Saccharomyces cerevisiae S288C: one gene and its partners. The main gene of each other region encodes a partner of the protein of the gene in region 3 in a complex. Each region holds a gene or a part of one and is shown on either strand. Other genes may lie near its edges. The genes, in order: YNR048W, CDC50 and DRS2. A codon is read from its position in the direction of its gene.

What was found.
Region 1: DRS2 (region 3) and YNR048W share a complex: the UniProt entries of both Saccharomyces cerevisiae proteins name them as parts of the flippase complex.
Region 2: the proteins of DRS2 (region 3) and CDC50 are in contact, whole or in part, in a cryo-EM structure (PDB 6PSY), measured with the Saccharomyces cerevisiae proteins. Residues at the interface, in NP_009376.2 of Saccharomyces cerevisiae: His241 (codon at 10,111), Val242 (codon at 10,108), Ser243 (codon at 10,105), Pro244 (codon at 10,102), Met469 (codon at 9,427), Lys475 (codon at 9,409), His476 (codon at 9,406), Leu477 (codon at 9,403), Ser478 (codon at 9,400), Tyr479 (codon at 9,397), Leu480 (codon at 9,394), Tyr481 (codon at 9,391), Leu482 (codon at 9,388), Asp494 (codon at 9,352), Thr497 (codon at 9,343), Tyr520 (codon at 9,274), Phe523 (codon at 9,265), Met524 (codon at 9,262), Ser527 (codon at 9,253), Asp528 (codon at 9,250), Leu529 (codon at 9,247), Tyr532 (codon at 9,238), Glu534 (codon at 9,232), Asp537 (codon at 9,223), Pro539 (codon at 9,217), His1000 (codon at 7,834), Trp1003 (codon at 7,825), Tyr1029 (codon at 7,747), Ala1032 (codon at 7,738), Asn1033 (codon at 7,735); in NP_010018.1 of Saccharomyces cerevisiae: Lys21 (codon at 4,681), Lys22 (codon at 4,678), Pro23 (codon at 4,675), Pro24 (codon at 4,672), Asn25 (codon at 4,669), Phe28 (codon at 4,660), Arg29 (codon at 4,657), Gln30 (codon at 4,654), Gln31 (codon at 4,651), Leu33 (codon at 4,645), Lys34 (codon at 4,642), Ala35 (codon at 4,639), Trp36 (codon at 4,636), Gln37 (codon at 4,633), Pro38 (codon at 4,630), Ile39 (codon at 4,627), Leu40 (codon at 4,624), Ser41 (codon at 4,621), Pro42 (codon at 4,618), Val45 (codon at 4,609), Leu46 (codon at 4,606), Leu48 (codon at 4,600), Leu49 (codon at 4,597), Val52 (codon at 4,588), Phe56 (codon at 4,576), Leu63 (codon at 4,555), Phe138 (codon at 4,330), Tyr140 (codon at 4,324), Lys142 (codon at 4,318), Asn145 (codon at 4,309).

The regions. Positions count from the first base shown.
Region 1 is NC_001146.8:709,668-715,685, reverse strand, and holds YNR048W (putative aminophospholipid translocase regulatory protein), read right to left. Parts: upstream 4,057-6,018; coding exon 2,875-4,056; downstream 1-2,874. Other genes in the region: LYS9 (saccharopine dehydrogenase (NADP+, L-glutamate-forming)), read left to right, coding at 298-1,638; MSO1 (Mso1p), read left to right, coding at 2,031-2,663; serine/threonine protein kinase FPK1, read right to left, coding at 4,482-6,018. UniProt on the Saccharomyces cerevisiae protein: Accessory component of a P4-ATPase flippase complex which catalyzes the hydrolysis of ATP coupled to the transport of phosphatidylcholine and small amounts of phosphatidylethanolamine from the lumen to the cytosolic leaflet of the trans-Golgi network and ensures the maintenance of asymmetric distribution of phospholipids.
Region 2 is NC_001135.5:284,784-291,502, reverse strand, and holds CDC50 (aminophospholipid translocase regulatory protein CDC50), read right to left. Parts: upstream 4,742-6,719; coding exon 3,566-4,741; downstream 1-3,565. Other genes in the region: YCR095W-A (uncharacterized protein), read right to left, coding at 1,706-1,864; OCA4 (Oca4p), read left to right, coding at 2,245-3,333; CCR4-NOT core subunit CDC39, read right to left, coding at 5,060-6,719.
Region 3 is NC_001133.9:88,867-101,329, forward strand, and holds DRS2 (aminophospholipid-translocating P4-type ATPase DRS2), read right to left. Parts: upstream 10,832-12,463; coding exon 6,764-10,831; downstream 1-6,763. Other genes in the region: MYO4 (myosin 4), read right to left, coding at 1-3,404; FRT2 (Frt2p), read left to right, coding at 4,034-5,620; DNA-binding protein SAW1, read left to right, coding at 5,821-6,606; ribosome biosynthesis protein MAK16, read right to left, coding at 11,359-12,279. UniProt on the Saccharomyces cerevisiae protein: Catalytic component of a P4-ATPase flippase complex which catalyzes the hydrolysis of ATP coupled to the transport of phosphatidylserine and small amounts of ethanolamine from the lumen to the cytosolic leaflet of the trans-Golgi network and ensures the maintenance of asymmetric distribution of phospholipids.

The DNA of each region.
Region 1 (6,018 bases), on a different chromosome or scaffold from region 3:
TTGCGGTTACTACTGACCACGAAGCAATGCGTTTAGTAGTGAAAAGAATTACTCATACTCTGGAATCGAAATTCCGTTGGAAAAATTCGCTTTGTAGTGAAAAATAAAGATGTCAATAAAGGGTATTGAGAATTTCCAATGGAATTATCAGCAATAGATGATAGAAAGTAGCACAGAATTTGGCTTAATGGTATATAAACCGTAGGGTCCTGGTAAAATTACATGGGAAGGATCCTTAGGCAGTAGGGAAAACTTATCAGGACAATTGAGTTATATTAACGTATTATATATTTTAATATGGGAAAGAACGTTTTGTTGCTAGGATCTGGTTTTGTTGCACAACCTGTTATCGACACATTGGCTGCTAATGATGACATCAATGTCACTGTCGCATGTAGAACATTAGCCAATGCGCAAGCATTGGCCAAGCCCTCTGGATCCAAGGCTATTTCATTGGATGTTACCGATGACAGTGCCTTAGACAAAGTTCTGGCTGATAACGATGTTGTCATCTCTTTGATTCCATACACCTTCCATCCAAATGTGGTAAAGAGCGCCATCAGAACAAAGACCGATGTCGTCACTTCCTCTTACATCTCACCTGCCTTAAGAGAATTGGAACCAGAAATCGTAAAGGCAGGTATTACAGTTATGAACGAAATTGGGTTGGATCCAGGTATCGACCACTTGTATGCGGTCAAGACTATTGATGAAGTTCACAGAGCTGGTGGTAAGCTAAAGTCATTCTTGTCATACTGTGGTGGTTTACCAGCTCCTGAAGACTCTGATAATCCATTAGGATACAAATTTTCATGGTCCTCCAGAGGTGTGCTACTGGCTTTAAGAAACTCTGCTAAATACTGGAAAGACGGAAAGATTGAAACTGTTTCTTCCGAAGACTTAATGGCCACTGCTAAGCCTTACTTCATCTACCCAGGTTATGCATTCGTTTGCTACCCAAATAGAGACTCTACCCTTTTCAAGGATCTTTATCATATTCCAGAAGCCGAAACGGTCATTAGAGGTACTTTGAGATATCAAGGTTTCCCAGAATTTGTTAAGGCTTTAGTTGACATGGGTATGTTGAAGGATGATGCTAACGAAATCTTCAGCAAGCCAATTGCCTGGAACGAAGCACTAAAACAATATTTAGGTGCCAAGTCTACTTCTAAAGAAGATTTGATTGCTTCCATTGACTCAAAGGCTACTTGGAAAGATGATGAAGATAGAGAAAGAATCCTTTCCGGGTTTGCTTGGTTAGGCTTGTTCTCTGACGCAAAGATCACACCAAGAGGTAATGCTTTAGACACTCTATGTGCACGTTTAGAAGAACTAATGCAATATGAAGACAATGAAAGAGATATGGTTGTACTACAACACAAATTCGGTATTGAATGGGCTGATGGAACTACCGAAACAAGAACATCCACTTTAGTTGACTATGGTAAGGTTGGTGGTTACAGTTCTATGGCCGCTACTGTTGGTTATCCAGTTGCCATTGCAACGAAATTCGTCTTAGATGGTACAATCAAGGGACCAGGCTTACTAGCGCCATACTCACCAGAGATTAATGATCCAATCATGAAAGAACTAAAGGACAAGTACGGCATCTATCTAAAGGAAAAGACAGTGGCTTAAATAAGAAGAAATGTATCAAAAGGTTTATCATACGTAACAGTAACGGCACTTTATAAATCTTTCTTTAGTATTACTTATACTTTCATAAGGAAACGTAAAAAAAAAAAAACCGGAAAGAGGGACAAAATGGACTAGAACGTAATTGAGAGTGTAGTTCCTGAAGCTTGAACCGCTAGTAAGTCGTCTACCTTTAGTCTAAAAAGTATTGGCTATTGCATTTTATAGTCTTGCTTCTGATCAGAACGTATTAAATGAGCTCGTAAAGACTCTTAGGAGTTTTTCACTTTTAGAGATTAATACTATTAGGAAAGGTGCAAAAAAATAAAACGCCAACTAACTATTAGACGCTAGGCCCTAATACCAACTACCAGTATAACTAAGATTTCACGCATATGATGAGTCAAGTATCGCATTCCCAAGAAGGATCCGGGCGATTTTGGAACAAGTTTAAGTCGTCAACCAAATCGTTATCTACATCGTTGGCACATTTATCCATTAAAGCAGAAAAAGATGGTGATACTGTAAATACTACATTGGTCCATAAAGGGCTTGTGAAATTCTATGAAAATCAGCATCCTTTCCAGGGGTTCCCAGGATGGTTGGGGGAGAAGGAAGATTTACCGAACGAACGTAAAATATTAGATACTCAAGTGAAGCATGATATGAAGAAGCAAAACTCGCGTCATTTCTCGCCATCCTTTTCTAACAGAAGGAAGGCTTCTTCAGAAGATCCTATGGGTACACCTTCTTCAAACGGGAACACACCGGAGTACACGCCTGCGAGTAAATCGTTTCAAGATATATACAATAATCATACAAGCTCCTCTAGCGCGACACCGAGAAGAGCTTCATCACGGCCGACTAGACCTTCAGCAGGCCAAGAATTCAGGGCAAGTCTCGGTCGAAGTAAAACGTCGAACAGTTTCAACACCTCCAGCACGCCAACGCCGCCACCAGACGCAAGTAGTGGAGTAATGGCAATGAAGGACAGACTAAAGAGACGCAATAACGATTATGGATTTTAAATAGCACTATACCTTGCTGAAATAAAGCGAAAAGAACATTTAATGAATATATAGGTATCGTATATGTACTGAATAAAGTGTTTGATACAGAATGCAAGGAGATAATATAGTATGGTATATAACCTCGTCCTTATTTTGAATATACATGAAATTACAACGCTTCCCTAGAGACCGAATCAAACGCAGGGATTTTATAGTAAATGATAATCAATCATAAAATTTCTCTCAATGGAATACTAACGACACTACTCTCATCGAATGGGGTATCGCTGTTCTCAAAATTTAGGTAGCTATGATCATGCATAGGTCTTGGTTTGAAGATGACTTTTATCAGGAATAGTATGGCGAAAAGAGTTGCAATCCCGGCAACAATCAAATAAACAATCCCTAATGCCTCGTTTCCAGCACCGATAATACTGTTTGTGGTTAATACAAAAGATTTTGTTCCATAGAAAGATCTTACTGGGTAGTTGAGTTCTATATCAGCAATGTAAATACCCTTACCTAACCCATTGGTCTCATTTTTCATTGCTAGCTTATAGAAGTTGGGCAATGCAGCAGTTCTCATCCATATTTTGAACTGTTCCCAGTTTTGTAGGTCTGGAATGTTATCGTCAGTGTAGCCATTGGGAAATAACTTGGCCCAATTTGGGGGCGGTACGATATCGGATGCATTGTATTCGGTCTTTCCATATCTGTGGCTGTCGGTGTCCCACGCAATACCTTTTGTGGTAAGCAAATAATCTGCAGTATCGTTTACACCAGTAAGTGTTGTGCCGAATGTATCATTGAACATCGAATTTGCTATCAATCCACAGGGGAATATGGTCTTATTTTCTACCGTCCTTAAAGGGTCACAGTTTGGATCCAGATCATTTCCGATCAATGCTTTTCCTTTTAATTGGTCTAGGTCAAGAGATTGCACATATTCTCTATAGTTTTGATTGAAATTTGTTAGGCGGTAATAAACATAAGTAGATTTCTTGATATGATTTGGAACTTCGAACTGTATTCGACAAGTTTGATTGCCTAATTCAGGATCCGTAAGTACCATCCATTGAGGTTGGACTGCGACTTTCTTACTGAAGTGGTAGTCCACGTACTCGGAGGGAATCGTTTCAAAATGCTTCGCCGGTGCCAATGCATCACATTCTGTGTAGTTTACCACTAGTCTTTGGACACTTATCGTGCTGACCACCAGCCCTATACCAATGGGTGCGAAGACGCATGCCATCAAAATAAGCAACGGCAGTACGCTCTGTGGCGACAAGATGGGCTGCCAGGCTTTGAGGCGCTGTTGTCTAAACGATGTGTTTGCCGGTTTCCTGGATTTTTGAGCATTTTGCTTACTAGACAACTGTTTTTTCTCTTTCCACCTTAATATCAGTCCCATATTGCACAAAAAAATCTAAGTTCCAGCACTTTATTCTAGATGTTAACTATTGATTAGATATCTATTTGCTTTTAACTTGTATATTGCGCCATCCTTCTATCGTTTCTTCAACTATCGCGTGAAAAATAGTACGCAAGCAAATCGAAAAAACTACATAGAGTTCATTGAAAAGAAAGGCAATGCTTCATCTGATGTTTACACAGAATGCTAGAAATTGAAACACCGATATATGATTTATTTAAGTTACACACTACTGACTAACTGACAGAGGAAAGAAAATAAAGAAAAAAAAATAGGTAGATAAGGATTTTGAAAAGAAATAGAGTTCGTTAAATGTATGATGAATAAATGAGGGAAAAAATAAGAGTGAAAAAAAAATCAATAAAAAAAAAAAAAATACCGACACTTATACGTCAAAGCCCCCTTTATCTCTTAAAAAAGGTTCGATGACTATTACTCCTCGATCTGTTGGAGTTTGGAGTGTATGCAATTTTCCCATAAGAATTGGTATTACCATAAATCATTGAATTGTTATCCTGTTCCATCAAACTCATTGAATTGAAGTCATGGAATGGATCATCTTCAGAGACTTCATCGTCGTATTCAACTCGTTCTTCAAACATATTTTTCTCTTGCTCATCGAGATGTTTATGGCTGTCTTGACTAGTCTGTCTCTTCTTATTAGATGATAATTTAGCAAAATCATATCCATCCTCAGATAACACTGGTATCAGAGGCGGTTCTTGATTTCTCAGCAAAGACCATTGGACTTTCTTGAAAAAGGGGTGTTTCTTCACGTCGGCAGCGCCCATTTTGCAACCCAGTCTTTTAGATTCATTTTTTGTCAGTAATTTTTTGATCAAATCCTTACAAGTTCTGGAGATTTCATTGTTATTGGGAAAACTGACCTCATTTTTCAAAATATTCGTAAAAGTTTCATTTGTGTTATCGCCTTTGAATGGAGTGAAACCAAATAACATTTCATAGATCAAAATCCCTAGCGTCCACCAATCGACCGCAGCGGTGTGGCCATTACCTCTTATGACTTCAGGGGCAATATATTCTTCAGTTCCGACAAAGGAATTGGTTCTAAACCCATCTGAGCATATTTTGGTATCAACAAGGGTTGATTGAGCGGAACCCTTGACAACAGGAACCTTGGAATCTTTAGCCTGAATAGACAAGTCGAAGTCAGAAAGCATGATATGGCCTGATTGATGCAGCAAAATATTCTCTGGTTTTAAATCTCTATAGATAAAACCCAACAGATGTAAATATTCTAGTGCTGCTGTCACTTCACTGGCATAAAACCTGGCATCGTCTTCACATATACATTTGGTTTTCCTTGTTTGTAAAGCTCTGAAAAACTCCCCGCCCATACAGTATTCCATACAGAGATACAAATAGTCTTCAGATTGGAACGAATGGTATAGTGTGACGATGAAGGGATGATTGCTGGTGGCAAGAATCTCTTGTTCTGTCAGAACACGTTTGATTTTATTTCTTTTTATCATTTCGTCTTTACTCAAGACTTTCAAAGCATACACTCTATTCGTCTTTTTCTCTCTTACTAAGAAAACTTTACCTACATCACCTTGGCCCAGCAATCTTATTTTCTCAAAAGACTGTGGTCCCACCATGATATCTTGAAATTTATTGCTGAAAGATTTAGTTCTCAAACGTCGGGACCTCCTAGGTTCTGGAAAATCAGAAATCTTTGGAGAGGGTTCTTGAGGGAAAAATGAGTTTGGAGGAGGCACTGATTGGCCTGGGATTTTGTCGTTTATATTACTGGACCCTGATGTTTTCCTTGCTGAAGAAGATGTCGGCGATGTGGCAGATGCGAGTTGCAACCCGTTTGGTTCTGAAGCTGCTCTTCTTAAAGGTATTTTTATCCTTGGATGGGTAGCTTTACCATTTTGTTTGGTAGGTGAAAGATTTCTCGTTTTATTGTCGGTTGTC
Region 2 (6,719 bases), on a different chromosome or scaffold from region 3:
CCTTGCATTTCGTTTCCATTAAATTTAATGACTGTTTCTCATTTCTTATGACATTTTCCTACATCTTATAGATGATATACTAGTAACGTGAGTACTACTATATAGATGATATCAGGATTTTATTTCATCGGCATAGTTACTACTGCTTCTACCATTGAAATCATCAAAAGTATGTATTTTTGTTGAATTCAAAGAAGTCAATCTTATGTCTAAGTTACCCCACTTGCTTGTTATAAAAAGCCTCCAGACTTGATGTATATAGCCATTTTTTTTTTGTAAACATAACAATATAATATTTGGGCTTGTCATGATATATTTCTTGCTTAGTAAATAGACGTATGTATTTAACTAACTTTTGGAAACGTTGTAAGTTCCATTAATAATTTTGGTCAACATAAAGTGGCGAGAAAAACGCCCTGAAAAAACCTTTGTGGTGTATACACTCAATGTGGATGTTGCTTTAAAATGGATTGTAGTGTTATCTTCACGCACGCTTAAATCATTGCAAAAAGTTTTTTTTAACGTAAGTGAAAAAAGACACCAATGCAGTTTTATTAGTACCTGCCAAACAGATAATCGATCATTTATGAGGTCTTTTACTTCACATTGAGTTTTTGTAGCTCAACAGTCTATTTATCAAATATACTTGTTGGAGACCTTACAAAAGTGTCTTTCTACATCTCAACTTAAAGTGATGAAGTTGACAAGGGTCTTACTCTGAAATTCCATCAGAGTAACTACGGTAATCTATATGGATTTCTGTTGGTCTTTAGAACAATCTCTGAGGATGAATTCAAGACTCACCTTCCAGTACATAGTAATCGTAGGCCCTTGTCTGTTATTGTAGAAACTTCTTCGTTGAATTTTAATAATGTGAGACGGAAAGAAATACAACCATATGAACAATTTTTTTAATTGTTAGTTATCCTGCGAACTGTGAGGACCAGTTTAATATATGGGAGGAGTTGAAAAAAATACAGTTTTAAGACTTTAAGCTTTCACGCAATCACTTACATTCTTTTGTGTGTATGCAGGCTATAGCTATCATTGAAATAGTAAAAGAAAGCAACTCCCGTCACTTTTACCATTGGTTCTAGAATGGGTTTGCAGTATGAAAAAAAATGAACGTAAAGAATATATTTCAACTGTCATTTTTAGCCCATTTCGAAGAATGATTGAGCACCGTCATTGATCGCTTAAGATGGCTAGCTTCAACATAGCGGAGTACATTGGAAAATCAGTGATCATTCTGTTGACTTCGTTTCAAATAATTCAGGTCAATATAATGTTAGAGTGTTCAATTTAGTGGGCAGTTTGTAACATGTATTATTGAGCAAGTGAGCTCTGATATCAGAGACGTTAACATGCAACTCAACCAAGTTGACTCATTCAAGTTGTGCTAAAATGGCCGTAGTGGAGGGGAGGGCCAGCGATGCAGGCGACACCAGCAACAGTTGAAGTTAGTTTTACCATTATGTTCGCTTTGCTTGTTAGTGCTGAATAGACTATACTATAAAAGGAGCAATGCAGGATATTCTCCAAGGCATAATGTGTGAAGTGGCCTATTAGTATGAATATCTTAGCAGTTGTTGCTGCTCAAACGAATCATTACACATCTCAAATCATCCTTTGTTCACTTTCTCTTTCTGCACCTACATCACCGTCTTTAACTGCCTTTATTGAGATGTGGCTGCTCCTGACCTGTTCACCTTTTATAAATCTTGCATAGGAAGGCATGCATTGAACTTTTTTTATTTACTTTCGTATGTTCAGACGAAAAAAAAAAATATTTCAGGATTACTTTCCGAAAGAATCCTTTGTATACATGCAATATCCTTAGACCCAACTTGATTAGAACTGTCATCCAGAAGCCCAATGCTCAAGCTTTGAATATCATATTTTAAAAGTTTTTTATGACAATGAAATTTTGTTTCTCCAAGTCAGGACACGGGGAAAATCTTTACTTTTAGTGCTATCCATAAATATACAGTTCTTTAGCCCCATATTTTATCAGTAAAACTACTTATGGCTGTCCTTACCGTATGCGGTATAATGAAACTTTTGAAAGGAACATCTTAATATACCGCCTTGACATATCCGGGTAATAATAATACAATATTCGGAAGTTTTCTAGCATTAAATGGACAGTAAGGTAAAGAAATGAGATGTGGTTGTTATATGGAGATCGTAGAATAAAAAGAGAGACACTTACAGCACTGGTGCGATCCATAACCTGAATTCATAATGCTGGTTCCACCTGCTAACTTTGGGATTGCTGAAGAAGGAATATATAGATGTTCTAAAGTGGAGACATTAAATTTATCCTTTCTGGAAACTCTCAATTTAAAGACAGCTATATTTATTGGAGGTCAAGAACCATCCAAGTTTTTCAAAGATTTTTTCACAAGATCATCCATAAAATGGATTGTTTTAAGGATGTCTGATTTCTCGGCTGCGGCAGTTCCGGTAAAAAGCTCTTCTGTATCTAACGCAAATTTATATTCGAATAATAACAGTACTCTATCATTACAGGAAGAAAAGAAAAAATCCACTGCAAATGGGTCACAAAATTCTACTACAGGGGATCCTGTAATTCAGGAGGAATTGGCTTACCACTTGACTGACAATGATGACTTAATGCTGATTAAGAGCACGTGTTTAAAAAGAACTTTCAAAACATTATTGAATGTGGATAATTATAATGTTTTATTGGTAGATAAGACCGCGTTGGTCATTGGTATACTTCGAAAAATTCAGAAATGGAATATTGCATCAATCATAAATGAGTACAGATTATTTTCTGGTAAGAATAGAAATTATTTTGCGGAAACATTTCTAGAAATAATTAACATTGAGATAGAACAGGAGAAGGATAATAAGACAATTGTGGACAACAAAGCAAAAAAATTGCCCCTTGAGAATAATAGGACGCATTCGATAGAGTATAAGGCCAATTCTGGCAAACTTATTAGAGTAAATGAAGATGACCTTTGCAGAGAGCCAGAAGTGCCTCAGCGGCTTTTGACATTAATAAATCAAATCGAAACCAAAGTGAAAAATAATAAAGTATTACAAGTAAGTGGAGTTCTAGGAGACGATTTGAAGAAAACCTCTTCTGACCTAGGAATTTTTGGCCATAGGTATAGATTAGCATTTAATAAAAAAGAAAATGGAGATTATGGCTATTATAAAGCAAGGGGAAAAGATAACGTCAAAATAAGGATACCCTGTGATTCTGAATTACCAGATTGGTTCAGGTTTCAACGAGATTTGTGGGAAAAAGAAAACGTTCCGGAAGAGCATCACTTTTATAGGGAACATATTTTTACATAGTTTACATTTTTACGTATATGTATAGATGATTTCATGATAAACGTTTTCCACTTTTCTATCATTTCATCATCTAAATGGGAATAGCAAACCCTGGGAGTTCTTTGTCGCACTATTTTCCAAGCGTAAAAAGGCATACTTCAATTTTTCTTTTGTTTACGTTTCAGGAAGTCAACAAAACTTGTTTACTTATAAACACAAATACCTACAGGCACTAAAGTTTGTTTTTTGGCCTCTATAAAATTTCCCTCAATGTTGTATTCTCTGCGTGTACATCCTCATAATCCTCGTTTTCTTCATCATCAAAATTCAAATAAGTGTGATCACCCATCGCTCTTGGTTGGAAGATTAATTTAACCAAAAAAATGATGCCAAATAAGGCGCAAAGCCCTGCAACGATGAGGTACAGTACGCCTAGTGACATATTTCTACCACCAATAGCTCCATTTGTAGTCAGTACAAATGATTTTGTGCCACCAAAGAGTGAAATCGGATAATTCAACTCAATGTTCATTTGATATTTACCCTTCGGTAAAGAAGCAGATTCATTTTTCAACGTCAACTTGTAAAACTTGGGAAAGGCTGCAGTCCTCATCCATACCTGGAACTCTTCCCAAGTATGGATATCAGGAAGATTTTCATCTGTATACCCATCGGGATACTTCTTCATCCAGTTTGGCGGTGGAACAATATCGCTAGCATTATACTTGGTGGTTTTAAATCTGTGACGATCAATACTCCATGATATATGCTTGTTAGTTAAATTATAGTCTTCTGTGTCATCTATACCACTCAACACCTGAGAAAATGTATCATTAAACATGGAATTAGCGATCAACCCACAGGGATATATTATTTTGTCTTCCCTACTTCTTATTGGACTACAGCTTGTATCCAGATCATCTTTTTTGATAGGCTCCCCTAATATTTGCTTTGTGTCAAACGATTGGACATATCTGCGATGATTTTGATAAAAATTGGTTATTTTATAATATATAAAAATGGATTTCTTGATATCGTTTGGGATTTCGAACTGCAGTTCGCATGATTGTTCGCCATTTTCATTTTCGGTTAGCCTCCATTGTGGTTTATTTTCAACTTTACTTTTAAAGTGATATTTAATGTACTTCTTTGGTATATCTTCAAAAGCAGTTGTAGATGCTTTTGTATCACAATGACTATAATCAATTGTTAGATCTTGTACCTTAGTAGCGCTTACAATGAGTCCAATACCAATAGGAGTAAATATACATGCAACGAATATTAACAACGGAAGCACACTTTGAGGAGACAGTATTGGTTGCCATGCCTTAAGCCTTTGTTGTCTAAACGCTGTGTTAGGAGGCTTTTTAGAAGTGGGGCCTTCTTTCGTGAGCGGTGGAGCCTTACCTCTTTTGAACAATGAAACCATATACAAGCTGTTCTATAGAACTTCAAGTTCGATTACTCAATTATTCTTTGTTCGCAGTGCGTCATGGACATAAGGTAATTGCAGCTCTTGTTTGATATAAATTGATGCTCATTATTATTATTATTCTCCAAAACAATAATACGGGTAACACTAATTTTCAGTAGTTCAAAAGTGAAAGCGACCCATATACAGTAAGAAAAGTTAATCGAAATTGCTTCTATTCTTATTCAAAATAGTATTCTCTGAAATATAGTATTATACAAGTTATATTTTTTTTTCTGAAATCATGATTTTCGTATATAAATAAATGCAGTTTTTTTATGCGTTGGATTGTAGAGGGGTTTGCCTTCTATTGATGGTGGCGGATTGGTCATCTTGTTCACTGGTTGTGTATTTTTTGGAATATTTTACTAATTGTTGTAAAATTAGTTTAATTTCGGGAACACTTTGTACAAAGGGCAGGTCTAAAAGATTAATATCGTTATTGTTTATCAACTGAGTAAAGAAAACTGAAACACCCCAGGTATGTGGTTTGTTAACAATAATTCTTTTTAAAAAGTTTCTTAAAATAATTTCTTGGACTTCAAGTTTTTGATCATTCCATTCGTCACTTTTGAACATATTCATTAACACAAAGCTGAACCAATAGGTGTGGATGTTTGGATACCGCAATTGTTCCACAATAGACAGAATAATTTGATATTTCATTTCGATGCTACCATTTTGAATCAGATTGAACAATAAAGTATAATAAGAAGACTTCGTATTAAATACCGCATTTGAAGAAGTTCTCTTATACTCTATTCCAGCTTCAATGCCCACATGTAATACAATAGCGCGAATTAATTTACTATCAACAGATAAAAAGTCGTAGCCTACGCCCTTTTTTATGTCATAGGTATCCTTGTAAATAGCGCTTAGTATTGTTCTTAATAATGAATTTGAGGGAATACGTAGGTAGTTGTCAACTGGCTTTTTCAATGAGTGTAAATCAATTACAGGATCAAAGAAGACTTCAGGTAGTTCTTTACATGCTGGAATATCCTCCATATTAAGATCCACGTCATATGGGTTGGGAACGGTCATATTCTTAGGAATAGCAGATAAAATAACATTCTTTAGTTGGAAATATGTTGGAGGTAGATTGTTCATTAATTCATAGTGATTTTCAATCAAAAAGGATGGCATATCATTCGAAATGCCTAAAATAACACGCAGTGTTCCCTTATAAACAACCGAAACAGCGTCAGAGACTGCATGTTTACTTGTGTATTGGTCCAAAAATTTAAACAAATCGATAATCAAAAGCATTAACTTTTCCCAACCTATTTTATTGGGTAATCTTAGCATAATTGGTAATAACATTCTGTGTGATAATAGTGTCACCCATGCAAATGAGAATCCAGGGAAGGCAAATGGTTGCAGAGCGTGCAAATATCCTGAGAAAGTGTTGTAAAATACAGAATCAAATTCGATCAGCTCCTGCCTAGTGCTGGAATCAGATATTCTAACAAAATTGTGCGTCCTGATGGTAGCCCATTCGTATAAGATGTTAGAAAATAGTCTGAAATATGGTCGTTCATTGAATGTGGTACCCTCTTGGCTATGATCCTTAGCAAACACTAAAACGATCACAGAAAATATTGCATTTATGTAATCTCTTCTTGTATCATCTTTGAAACCCTGTAAAATCAACAATTTTATAATTAGCGATCCTAGAGCATCAATAGCGATGAAAACCTCATCAGTCGGGTCACTTTCTTTGAATGAAGAAACTGATAGCTCAAGAGAACTTTTGACAAATGTAAGTAAATTATCAGTATCGCTGATAACACCCTTTTCGACTAATTGCTTGATAAAAACAGTTGTGATTACGTCGTTATTCTCAACTCTTTGAAGTAATTTTACCCATTCCGTAAATACTAAGTAAAGCTTTTCTGTTCTTGTGGTTTTGGTACCTTTCCTCACTGGCATTATC
Region 3 (12,463 bases):
TTGTCTCCATTCACCTCAGTAACATTTACTTTTTTCAAGTAACCTTCTGTGACTTCTAATGTGTAACAATTCAGGTCCATTAGTAATTCTAGAAGATCAGGATTTCCTGATTCTCTACGAATTACATTGACTAGCTTCGGTTTTACTTGTTGTCCTGCGATTCCCAAACCTTTCACTTTATCATTCTTATTAGCAGAATATGTGGTGGTGAAATCTTGTGCTATTACGTTTTCAATAAACGCTAGTTCTTGCTTCATTGATTTGACTTCATCACTTAATCTTGAAGGTTTGTTACCTTTTATAGCAGCCAAACTTTGCATATGTGACTGTATTAAAGAAGATTGCTTCTTTTTTCTCTCCTTCAAGGCATTCTTCTTGTTTAAAGTATTCATGATTTCAACTTGTAACGTCTTCAGCTTGGAAATCTTATCATTATAACCATTTACTATCGTTTCGTACTCTTGCCTTTGCTTAGATGGAATATTTGACAAATCTCCCTGCAACAACTGTGTTAATCTTGTATATGAGTCATTTAACATCTCTAGATTCAAAATGAAAGAGTTCTTAAATTCGATAGCTTCCTCCAGTAATCCAATCCCGTAACTAGCCCTAATATTCCGTTCTTCAACTTCTTTTTGCAGAACTATATACCTTCGTCTAGCTAACTGCATTCTCATGGCGCTTTGTACAAGAATGGAGCTCCTTTTCAATGTTCTGTAATCTGTTTTGTGACCATATGATCTGATGTAGCTTTGGATAATTACTGCCGCCATGAGCATGAATTTCCTGTTAACACTATCTAAAATCAATTTTCTTTTACAGGTACATTGTAGTTTTATTATTTGCCCAATGGCAGCTCTATAGTATTCCCGTTTCCATAATGCTCTAATGTTCGTTTGTAGTAATATGGCAGCTCTTGTCTTGAGCTCATGATCGACCCTTGTACGAACCAACAAACTTCTAATTTGGCTTTGGCACTTCTTTATTGATTCCATGGTCTGCAAATACTGAAGCCTATAGTATCTTGCCCTTATCTTTTTCTGTATTATGATGCATATTTCATTCATTTTATTAGTCCTTAGCTTTTCCAAAAATGCAAGCATTCCTGCTTTAAAGAAAATTTTGGTATTACCAATTTGGTATTTTGCTGAATCAGAGATAGTAGCATCTAGAATAGATTGACAGAAGTTGACGATTGCCTCTTTTGGGAGGTCTGGATTATAAAGAATTCCACTCCATAAGCTGTAGTCCGTCAGGAGGAAATATCTTTGAACGAATTCGTCAAAAGTCCATCTTGATGGAAAGCCTGCACATGAAATCCTGATTGTTTCCAGCACACCACAAGCTCTTAATTGCGATAAGACCATCAAATTATCGAACTCCCATGGCTTTTTTTCAGAATTTGGTTTTATGCAACGAATATAATGAACATTAGTAGAATTTATGATGGCCATCAATTCCCCGAGCGATTTTTTGAACATAGATCCCAGGGTTGGTTTCTTTTGACTTAATCTTGCTGGGATCATTATCTTTTTTTCAGTATTTTGCTCTTCAGGAGCATCGTCACTCCTAAGTTCTCTGTTGTCTAAAATTTGTTTGAAAATTGGATTTGTCGTTGCTTTGAAAACATCCAGATGACCTAGGGAAACGCTGTCTCTATTCTTTTCAATAAACCCTTCAACTTCATATTCTACATCAACAGCATAATGGCTTACTATAAACTTCGTTTGTCCGAATCTTGGCTTCGAAAAAACTTCATTTGAGGGCGGTTTATTAAAGGCAGAATATAGTTTTGAGGCCCATGATTCATCTGAGCCTGATGGTAATCTACTTTCTTCATCTAATAGAGAAAGTATTCCAAGTTTATTCTCAATCAAGTCTATGCAAGGTTGGTTGTCGCTGAACTCAATGAAAGACCACTCAATTTCCTCCTTTACATATTCTTCTTGCTCCAATTTGAAAACGTGCTGGTTGAACTCTTGTTGTAATTTTTCATTCGCATAGTTTATACAGAATTGTTCGAATGAGTTTTTCTCAAAATGCTCAAACCCGTAGATATCTAAAATACCAATAAAGGAAAAGACATGATCTTGTTGATCCAGCTCAGGATCGTATAATGTCTTGTTAATGTTGTCTACTAGCCAATCAAAAAGCGTGGAATAAATAAATTTCGCCACAGAGTCCCTAGCAATTAGCGCTTGATTGTAATTCAAATTAGTGACAATTTTTTCAGACCTTGTGACGATTTGTTTCTTGACAATCCATTTTGCAAAATTGAAGGGATCAATACCCAATAATTCACATGCGATTTGCAGGTTTTGCTCTTCCGATGATAGTGATGCGTCGTTTCTAGTCATTTTCATCTCGATATTACCTATATGTAGCAAGCCTGCAAGAATTTTGAAAATTCCAAGCTGAGTCTCGTGGTTTATACCTACTAATGACAGGGCATCAGTGGTTATCTTGTATTCTCGAGCTTCATCTATACCAGCTATGTTCGGCTGTCCACCTTGGTTAGTATAATGGTAGTCCTTGGGAGATGACAAATGCAGTTCTTGTTTTACCGGTTCTGGCAATCCTTCCAAAATTTGGTAAAAAATATGGTAATTTCTTTCTGTCTCTGGCTGATAAACTAACCTGGATTTTTCCAAGAGATAGGTTCTAATTTTGGACCCCCTGATGGTAGTATTCTCATCAAATAAAATTTGCAGATATTTGCCGAAACGAGAGGAATTATCATTTCTGGTAGTTTTGGCGTTACCAAAGGCTTCCATGATCGGGTTAGTAGCTAAAATTTGGCTCTCGATTTGAGACATTTCCACTTCCCCTTCACGATTGTTGCTTTCTTGGACTGAGGCAAAGTATCTCATAATGTATTTAGCAGAGACGGTCTTACCAGCACCGGATTCACCACTGACTACAACAGTCTGGTTAGCCTTTTCATGGACCATGAACCTGTACGCCTCCTCTGCTATGGCAAAAAGGTGCGGCTCCAGCTCATCTTTACGCTTACTAGAATAATTCTGTATCATCTCGCGAGAGTACAAATGGTCGACTTTATCAAAGGGATTAGCGGCAATAAGGACAATACCAGAGTAAGTATATATCTGTCCATTCATGTATCTTTTTTTTATGGCATGCAGCACTGCCGGTTCGTTCAGATATGATAGGGTGGTTAAGTCATCAGTAGACTCTAAAATAGGTGGGTTTCGTAGTACAGGTAGCGTGGGATGATCATCATCATTTTCGAAGCTATTTGTTTCAATGGATACAGTTTCTCCATCCTCCAATTTCAACTCTAAGTGGAACGTTCCTTCAAAGAAGTCATTCTTGGTGACTTCGCCGCCTATCCAGCCTTGTTCTTTGTGAGGGTACCAACACTTAGTTCCTACTTCAAATGACATGCGGGAGAACTGGTTATAGGATTTTTTTTGTTTTTTTGTGTTTTAGAATTAGATTGAATTATAAAAAGAAGAACAAAAGGGTATCGTATTGAAAATAAATTGTCTCGCCAAACTGGTAACAATGTTTTCAGCTAGAACAATAAGAAAAGAAGAGAAGGTAAAAAAAAAGGTGATAACTCCGTAGGAATTGAGGAATTGAGTATGCAGAATCAGAATAAAGGCTGACTTTCAAAAAAAGGTTGTATTACAATTGCAGGTTTTCGATAAAAGAGACCCTATTCTCATCTACTACTGCTAAACTTCGAGATATTTTCGAATTTTTCAGTCTTTTCTTTTTTTTTTTTCGCATTAGTTCAGAACCCTAAAGAATGGTAAACATTCTATGGATAACCCGGAGAGTGAGTTTCTTAAAGACCTAGTTTTATTTTAAGGGTTTTAACTCAATCTTGATGTTTTCATTGTGTACCCTAAAGAAAGTTTAAGAATAGCCCTAACTGTTACCTTTTGAAATAAAATAAGGGGAAGGTCAAAAAGCTATTGTTCTATTGTTATGAAACATTGTCTCAAAGAGTAAGAATAACACAAATTGATGGCAGTTTTTTACGTAGTCCAGTAGTTGTCCAGGTACAATGCAAAATGCTCAAATAAAGAGCTCTTCTAAAGGCAGCGGAATAGATGGTACAGATCGCAATAGCAAAGATGGTGTAGAAAAGAGACCCCTGGAAGATGTAAAGCAAATGATTGACGCTGGAACACCAGATGTTGGCCACAAATCTACTGTTGAAACTAAGCCAAACGTTGGATGGCAAGCCTCTCACAGTAATTTGGCTGCATTACACGAAAAAGAGCAGAAATATGAAATGGAGCACCATCATGCTCGTCATAAACTGCATCGTCAAGTTATTCCGGATTACACGTCTGCCTCGACCGCAATGTTCAGCGATTGTATGTTCAACGCAGCACCAGATAAAGTACGAAGTCTCAGTACGATGAAGTCTTCTGGACTCTCGCCAAAACACCCATTTAACGTAGTCGCCACCTTTAAAGGACCATTCCCGCAGCATAGTGTAGAATCAAAGCCTCTCGATGGTGGATACTCTGCCAAAGACCATTTTCCCTCATTTAAGATGTTGCAAGCCCAGCAGCACCCAGCCCATCGCCATTACAAAGACAACGACAAGTACGGTCTTAAATCACCTTCCCGGTCCTTCGTGAAGGACAAGAAAAGGTTGGTTCACCGGTTTTTGAAATCCATGGAGCCTTCTTCGTCTGGGCAATCTAAGGATTCGTCTGCACTGGCGCCGGCTTTCGATCCAATATTGCCCAATGTTATATCTAAGCCTTCCAAGCGACCCACACATCATTCGCATTCATCAGACGGGAGTTCTAGCACGCAGACAGATATATCGTTACAGAGCTTGCTTTACCATGATCTTGAAAGCTCACCAAAGAAACATGTTTCGCCCTCAAGACCGCCCTCTGTAGCTTCCGAATCCTCTCCTGCCGTTGCTAATCCCATTGGGCTTTCGCCAAAAGACGCCTGCAATGCATCGTTTTCGCAGTCGTCCTCATCTTCGTTGTCTTCTTCTTCATCGTCTTCATCATCGACGTCATTCTCACAGTCAGTGGCTGTTGATCCTCTTGAACCTCCTGGAAATATCACATATAGTAGTTCGAATCTTTCGCTAAATTCAGATGAATTAGACTACTATCAGCGTCATATCGGATTGCAGTTACAGCAGACAGAAGCTTTACTAAAGCACAGTTTGAAAGATGAGGTTCTGAAAGATGAAAATGACCTTGTTAAAAACATTGCAAATTTTGACAAGATCGTTAAAGAGCTAAGGGACTTAAGATCCAGGACCATTGGATGGAAAGAGCTTGTTGAAGAGGATTATTTAATGAATTTGAAACAGGATTTTGACAAGGAAAACCCCGAATCATTTGAGGCACGTTTGAGTGATACAATAAATACAAACGTGGCAAAATTACAAGATTTAGAGAAAAGAATGGCTTCTTGCAAAGACAGGTTGGCCTCTAGGAAGGAAGTAATGAGGAAAATGGAAAGTTTATTGTCTTTGGAGAATTCCTTAATGATATCCAAAAAAAATGTAACATTCGCATCTAAATACCGCAACGAGGCCCTTGATATTGTCTTTTTAATTATCATCATCGTCATATGCTATACCTTCAAGCATCTAGTATCGCATAAATAAAAAATAGTATTTGTATATCAAAAAATGATCCTGTGATTTTTTCATATGTAACGTATAAATGTAAAAATGTGCTTCTTCTGGTATTTTTAATCAAGTGGAAAGATGAGTGGAAAAAAGGGCAATGAAATAGAAAAGGACAGGCCTGAAAGGGAAGAATACAAGAAGATTGAGTATATTGGACTTCACAGTAACCGTGAAAAATGGCACCAAGTATAGCAACGGTAAAGATAGCCAGGGACATGGTTTTGCCATTACGTATATTTGTCAATAGAAAGCAGATCCTTCAAACCAATGATAAGACTAGCAATAAGTCGAATGCCACTATATTTGAAGCACCATTATTATCAAATAACTCCATAATCTGCTTAAAATCACCAAATACAAGAATATATTTATCGCAACAAGATAAGAAGAATCTTTGTGACGAGATCAAGGAGGACCTGTTATTGATTGTTTACGAACTAGCGTCCCCGGAAATCATCAGTTCCGTACTCAGCAAAATAAGAGTTGGTCATTCTACTGATTTCCAAATCAACGTTCTGCCCAAACTTTTTGCAGGTGCCGATACGGATAATGCGGTAACTTCTCACATCCAGTCTGTGACAAGGCTGGCTAAATTCAAATACAAGTTGCACTACAAACATAAGTGGGAGCTCGACATATTCATCAACAGCATTAAGAAGATCGCCAATTTAAGGCACTATTTGATGTTTCAAACATTAACATTAAACGGTTTCTCATTAAATGCAGGACCCAAAACGTTATTAGCTAGGAAAATAGAAAAACAGCCCCAGGTACCTAATTTGTTAATAGAAAATGGGGACGCTGATGCCCTGGATACACCGGTGGAAGAGGATATAAAACCTGTAATAGAATTTATGTACAAGCCTGTTATTAATTTAGGTGAAATTATTGATGTACATGTGTTGCATAGGCCTAGAAGACATAAGGTACGTACCCAGTCGAAGCAACCCCAGGAGGAATGAAAAACCGATAACAAAGTGATGGCTTAATATTATAACTTCTATATAACGGATATATTTTATGGTAAATGTACATATTTCAGTAATGGTAATAATGACTTTTCTTTTTATCTTATTTTTATTTTTGTATTTTTTGTCTTCTGCTCTTTGTTTCTGTGCCTCATATATCAAATGAAATATCATCTCTCGAAGAACTGAATCTATTTGAATTTTGATTACCATCAGCAAATGGATTTTCAATGAACGGTTCTGCACTTTCAAAGTCGTTACTTCCCAGTCCATTATTGTCATTAAAGGGGTTCGCCGAAGCATCTTGTAATTCACCGTACTTACCTCTCTTTTGAGTAGTATCATACATTCTGACAATTTTTTCTTGCCCACCCTCTTCAGCCTGTGAAAAGGCAAATCCTCTTTGTTTTTTCATTCTTTGCACTTGCCTCACCTTCCTGATGGCATTTTGAAATTGCTGAACGTGCGGCCTAGAGTCGCTGATATTGTATTTCTGCATTTCTTGAATAACATGATACGTTTCTGGTTCATACATTCTTTTATAGTACTTCCATAGAAAATCTCTTACCAGTGCAAAAATTGGTAAAACGATCAAAGTTAACCAAAATACACCGGATCCATACGTGTGTTTAACCACACCATAATACTCTCTTGAGATGTTAGCATGAGGAAATATAGAAGCATAAATTGGGAAGAATATTAACCAAAATAAGAGGGAACCAGGAATGGCAATTAAGGTGAATTTCGTCCATTGATTAGTTACCAAAGCAGCCTTTCCCAAAACAATAATGACACTTGTAGTGTAGACAGTTACACCCCAAGACCAATGATCAGCTAGTTCGCCGTGCATATTTAAGGCAAACCCATATCTGTAAATCAATATGGTGCCAATAAATACTATTGCAGAATGGAAAAAGCCATTAATAATCCATCCCCAGAAGATGTAAACAGAGAAAAATTGACCCTTCTGTCCTAATTTGTACAATTGTGGGTACCGCTCAAGTAATCTACTACTAACAAATTGATCAAATACACCAATGACAAAAGGGGGCCAAACAGTGAAGAATAAGTTGTAGAAACTCATTGTCCATGATTCCATAATGGATTGACCTGAAAAGGCATTGGCAAAAACGTACCAAAACTGCGTCATGTATAATGCTGTATTCTTGTAAAAAGAGTACAAAATTGCGACAGAAATTCTTTGATAAGACCAGGAGCCATGGACAAGTAATAGTTTTTTTAAAAATTTAAATTGGCCAACAGCTATATCAGCTGAACGAGCCGCTTGCATACCTTCCATACCACTAATACCGACACCAACATGAGCTGCCTGTATCATACTAACATCGTTGGCACCATCGCCAATGGCTAGCAGTAGTGAAGACGACTTTCTTTTTACCATTTTAACAACCAAGGCTTTCTGTAGTGGAGATACACGGCAACATATAACCGCTTTACAAAGCTTCGCCACAGTTAGCAAATAATCTTCTAATTCTGGTTCCAAGGCAAAGCCTAATGACTTCCCATCAATGACGAGCGCTAAGGTATTCATATCATGTGTTGACAATTGATGCTCGTTTAGAGCGTTAATCTTCTCTAACAAATTTCTCTCAGTATCATCTCTGGTTTCCTCGTTGATGATCAACAAATTCATGTCTTCACTCAATAAACGGCAACTCATACCAATGTTAATAGCAGTTTCCTGTCTGTCACCAGTTAAAACCCAAATTTTAATACCCGCTTCTTGTAATGTGTGGATAGTTTCTGGAACACCGTCCTGTAACTTATCTTCAATAGCAGTTGCACCAATTAATATTAGATTTTTCTCGATTAGATTTGCGGCTTCGTCTAGCTTCTCGGCTCTGTTATCTAATGTTGTGGCAGCCTCATTATAAATGCTATTCCATTCTTCATATTCTCCTTCAGAGATATCTCTCATCGCCAAACACAACGTCCGCAAACCCTCAGATGCATAATCTTCTAAATGTCTCATTGTAGCTTCTACATATTGATTAGCTTCATCATCCAATCTTTCCAGAATGACAGTATCAGCACCTTTACAGAATAACTTTATCGAACCATCCGGAAATCTAAATATAGCGCTCATTCTCTTCCTGGTGGAATTAAATTCACAAATGTTAAGTAGTTGATACTCTTTTTCCTCGCCAGTTTCCTCCAATAAAACAGTTACAGAGTTTGGTTTACGGATGATAAACTTATACCCTAAATCTGCACCACCTTGAACGAGGGCACCTTCATCTGGAGAGGCTGCTTGATATTTAATAGATCCATCGCTTTGAAATTCTGGAATGACAGTATGACAGGTAGCCAGTAATGTTAAGAAGTCATTGATAATAGGTGAATCCTCATCAGAGGGATCATTTAACTTTTTCTTCAAATCGTCAAATTTTCTATAACCAACTTCAATCCCATCTTCAACAGTGGCCGTTTTATCTTCAGGTATTTTATCAATATAGCAATGGCCTGCAATAGAGCAGGATTTAAATTCCATAATATTTCTTGTTAAAGTTCCTGTCTTGTCACTGAATATATATTCTATTTGACCAAGTTCTTCAACCAAAGAGGATGTACGAACCACAGTTGGGGTATCAGTTTTTTCGTAGTACAAATCTAGATCTGAACCTATCATAAAAGCCTGATAATATTTGATTAATTCAACGGTGACAAATAGAGAAATAGGAACTAGATTCGAAAATAGAATCCAAAATGTTAAAAAGTCTTTGAAGAATAAGCCAGCCTTGTTGGTACCCTCCAGGTAAAGGTACGATAAATGTTTGGCATCTGCAGTAGACATAATAACATTACCAATTGAAGAAATTAAAATTAGCACGATTAAAACTGTGAACAATGCAATAATCTGTCTGTTGATAATTTTCTCAACCGCGGTTCTTTTAATTGGGGTTGCAGTAGCATTACGCAATAACTTAGTTTCATGACCAGTGAAGATAACTAAACCAAATATCCATGCAGTATTTCTTAAAGTTGCACCTCTTAAAATCATTTGGTCAGGAGATAACGGTATTTGACGATCATTTAAAGTCATTGTACCTTCATAAGTATACAAGCTAGAGTTCGGCTGTTCGGAAACAACTTTTCCGTTCATGTTCTTCAAAGTTTTAACGTCTATAAATTTGGCAGTTTCTACTCTCGACTGTTTGATTTTCAAATTTGTTTCACCATCCAAGTTGGCAGTTTCAATGTAGCAAAGACCCTCCGGTTCCGAAGATGACAAAATTATGGTATCAGCAGGAATAGGTTCCTCTGATTTTACTCTAATTATGTCACCTACACGAATATCAATCCATCGTTTCTCAACAAAGTCATCATGTGCTTCTGAAAATATTTCTGCTGTCGAATTATTTAATTCTTTATCAGAATTAGCTCTCTTGATATCTTCGATACATTCCTTCATGGCAGAAACAATCAAAACCACTAATAAAGTACCAATTGTGGTGTATCTATTAGTTGGCGAGACGTGAGGCACCTGTTGAATGGCAGATGTACATAAAAAAAACAGATTAGCGTATTTGGAAAATTCTTGGAACAAAAATTTAGGCAGAAAGGTCGCAAAATTATACTTGGTGGTAGATATATGGTTGTCACTATAACCGAAGGAGGAATTAGCGAGAGAATCGTTGATGTGGATGACTCTTGGTTCACCATTGCCCTCTGCGTCGCCAACGTTCTTTCTTAAAATGTACCGGTTGAAAAGAATTTTAATGTTGAACTTATTCCTCGAGTCTAGATAATTATCGTCTAATTCGTTATTAGTCACCGCATTGTAATGATTCATTTCGAAACTTTCGGGCCCTTTCTTCCGTTTGAACGTAAAGGCATTTTTGAGACCATTACCAAACCTAGCAAATAAACCGGGAGGCTTGACTGCTCGTAGGGATTGTGGTTGATATGCATCTGAGTCGAATCTATTGGCATTCCAAGACGTTTGGTCGTCATGGTTATTGCTCATAAATAGATTTTCATGGACATCATTTTCAATGTTATCATCATCAGCGTCTAAGTCGATAGTCTCTTCGGGAAGTACATGACTTGGTGGTATATAATTCGCGTTCGCATGTGAGTTGGTGACCTTTGAACGGGATCCAGAATGAGAAGTCGTGTCGTCTAAGAAGTCAATATCGAAAAGCGTGTCGTCCTCCCCAGGTTTCCTCTTTGGGGGGGTTTCTCTGTCGTCATTCATGGTAAAATCAGGGAATGAAAGAACCTACCAGTAAATTATTGCTTGGCGCTAACCTCTATTTGGCGTTACTGGCTTCTTGTTGCACTATTCCCCTTAGAATTGCCAACAATTGTTGATTATATGTTTCTTCAACTTAGTGGCATTAAACAGATTTGGGTTTTCTGGCAAAAAAAGCCAATCACGTGATCAGGAAGATTTCAGTGATTTACGCTTCAAATAACCTTTACCTCAATAATCCCGTAATAGTAAGCTTCTAATAGTAAGCTTCTAATTTGCAATGTTATTAGCCCAACAGCTACTAAAGGTATTATTTTTTTTTTTTTTGATAAGAAATTTAAGTGTTACAGAATGGGCCATCTTACAAAAATAATAGTCTTTATGTATTTTTATATATGTAAAAGAATTGAAATATTTTATAACTGGTTGTTATTATGGTACAGTGCGCTGCCCAATCCACGTGGAAAAATCCTGTTCATTCAATAATAGAAACTGAAATCATGTAATGTTGCGTAGTATAGTGCGTGAGCTTATTGTGCCACTTCTTGCTCAGCATTTTGAACTTCGTGTTCCTCCTCGTATTCGATTTCGACTTTAGGACGTTTAGTTTTGGCACTAGTTCCCTTCTTACGTCTCTTGGCTGAATTCTTATTTTCTTCATCACTATCGCTGTCGCTCTCGCTTTCACTGTCGCTTTCGCTTTCACTGGCGCTGGAAGCTTCTCTGTCAGAGTCAGCTAACCACTTTTCTAAGTCATCCACGTCAACGTATTCACCTTCGCCATCATCTGCAACGTATTCAACTTCCCCATCATCACTTTCCTCTTCTTCATCCCAGTCTTCTTCCTCGTCCTGAGAATTCTCCTCTTCCATTTGACCCATTATCTTCTTCCAGACCTTTTCGTCAACATTTAATGGTTTATCACCGTAAGCACCACTCTTTAATCTGTCCATCAATTCTTTTTCGATGGCTTTTTCAATCTTGGCAGCTACCAATGCCTTTCTCTCCCTGTTTTGTTCTCTTCTTTTGACCTTTGGTGCTACACCAACGTAGTGTCTCTCCTCCTCCCTTAATGCTAAACGTCTCTCTGTTATCATGACCTGCGTCAATTTTGTAAATCTCTGTTTACACTTATGACGGAAAAACTTGCTCCAATGTAGTAGGTGTTCGTCGATCTGTTGTAAAGCCTTCGTGTAATTTTTGGATAGTTTGATTCTTTCCCATAACTTGGCAGGAGTGTGCGCTCTTTCAGGCGTCTTCATATACAAGTACAGTTTCCCATTGTCACACTTCACTGTTGCATACTTGGAGTTGGCAAGTGGGCATGATTGCCTTGTACACAACCCAGTGACGTTATACTCATTTCTGCAAAAATTTTGACCATTAGGTGCCTTAATTCTATGAGAGCAGAAACTTTGATTAATCACTTGCCAAACAATTTCGTCGGACATATCCTCGTTGTATTCTAACCGTTGTAGTTATGTACTGAAGAGAACACTGTCAAAAGAAAGAACTAAGCAATGCAATATCTGCCTCTATACCAATCACTTTTTCATTTTTTTTCAAAAGCTCATCGGAAAATTTTTCAAAAAAAAAAAAAAAAAAAAAAAAGGTTTATTACCCTACTGCATTTTG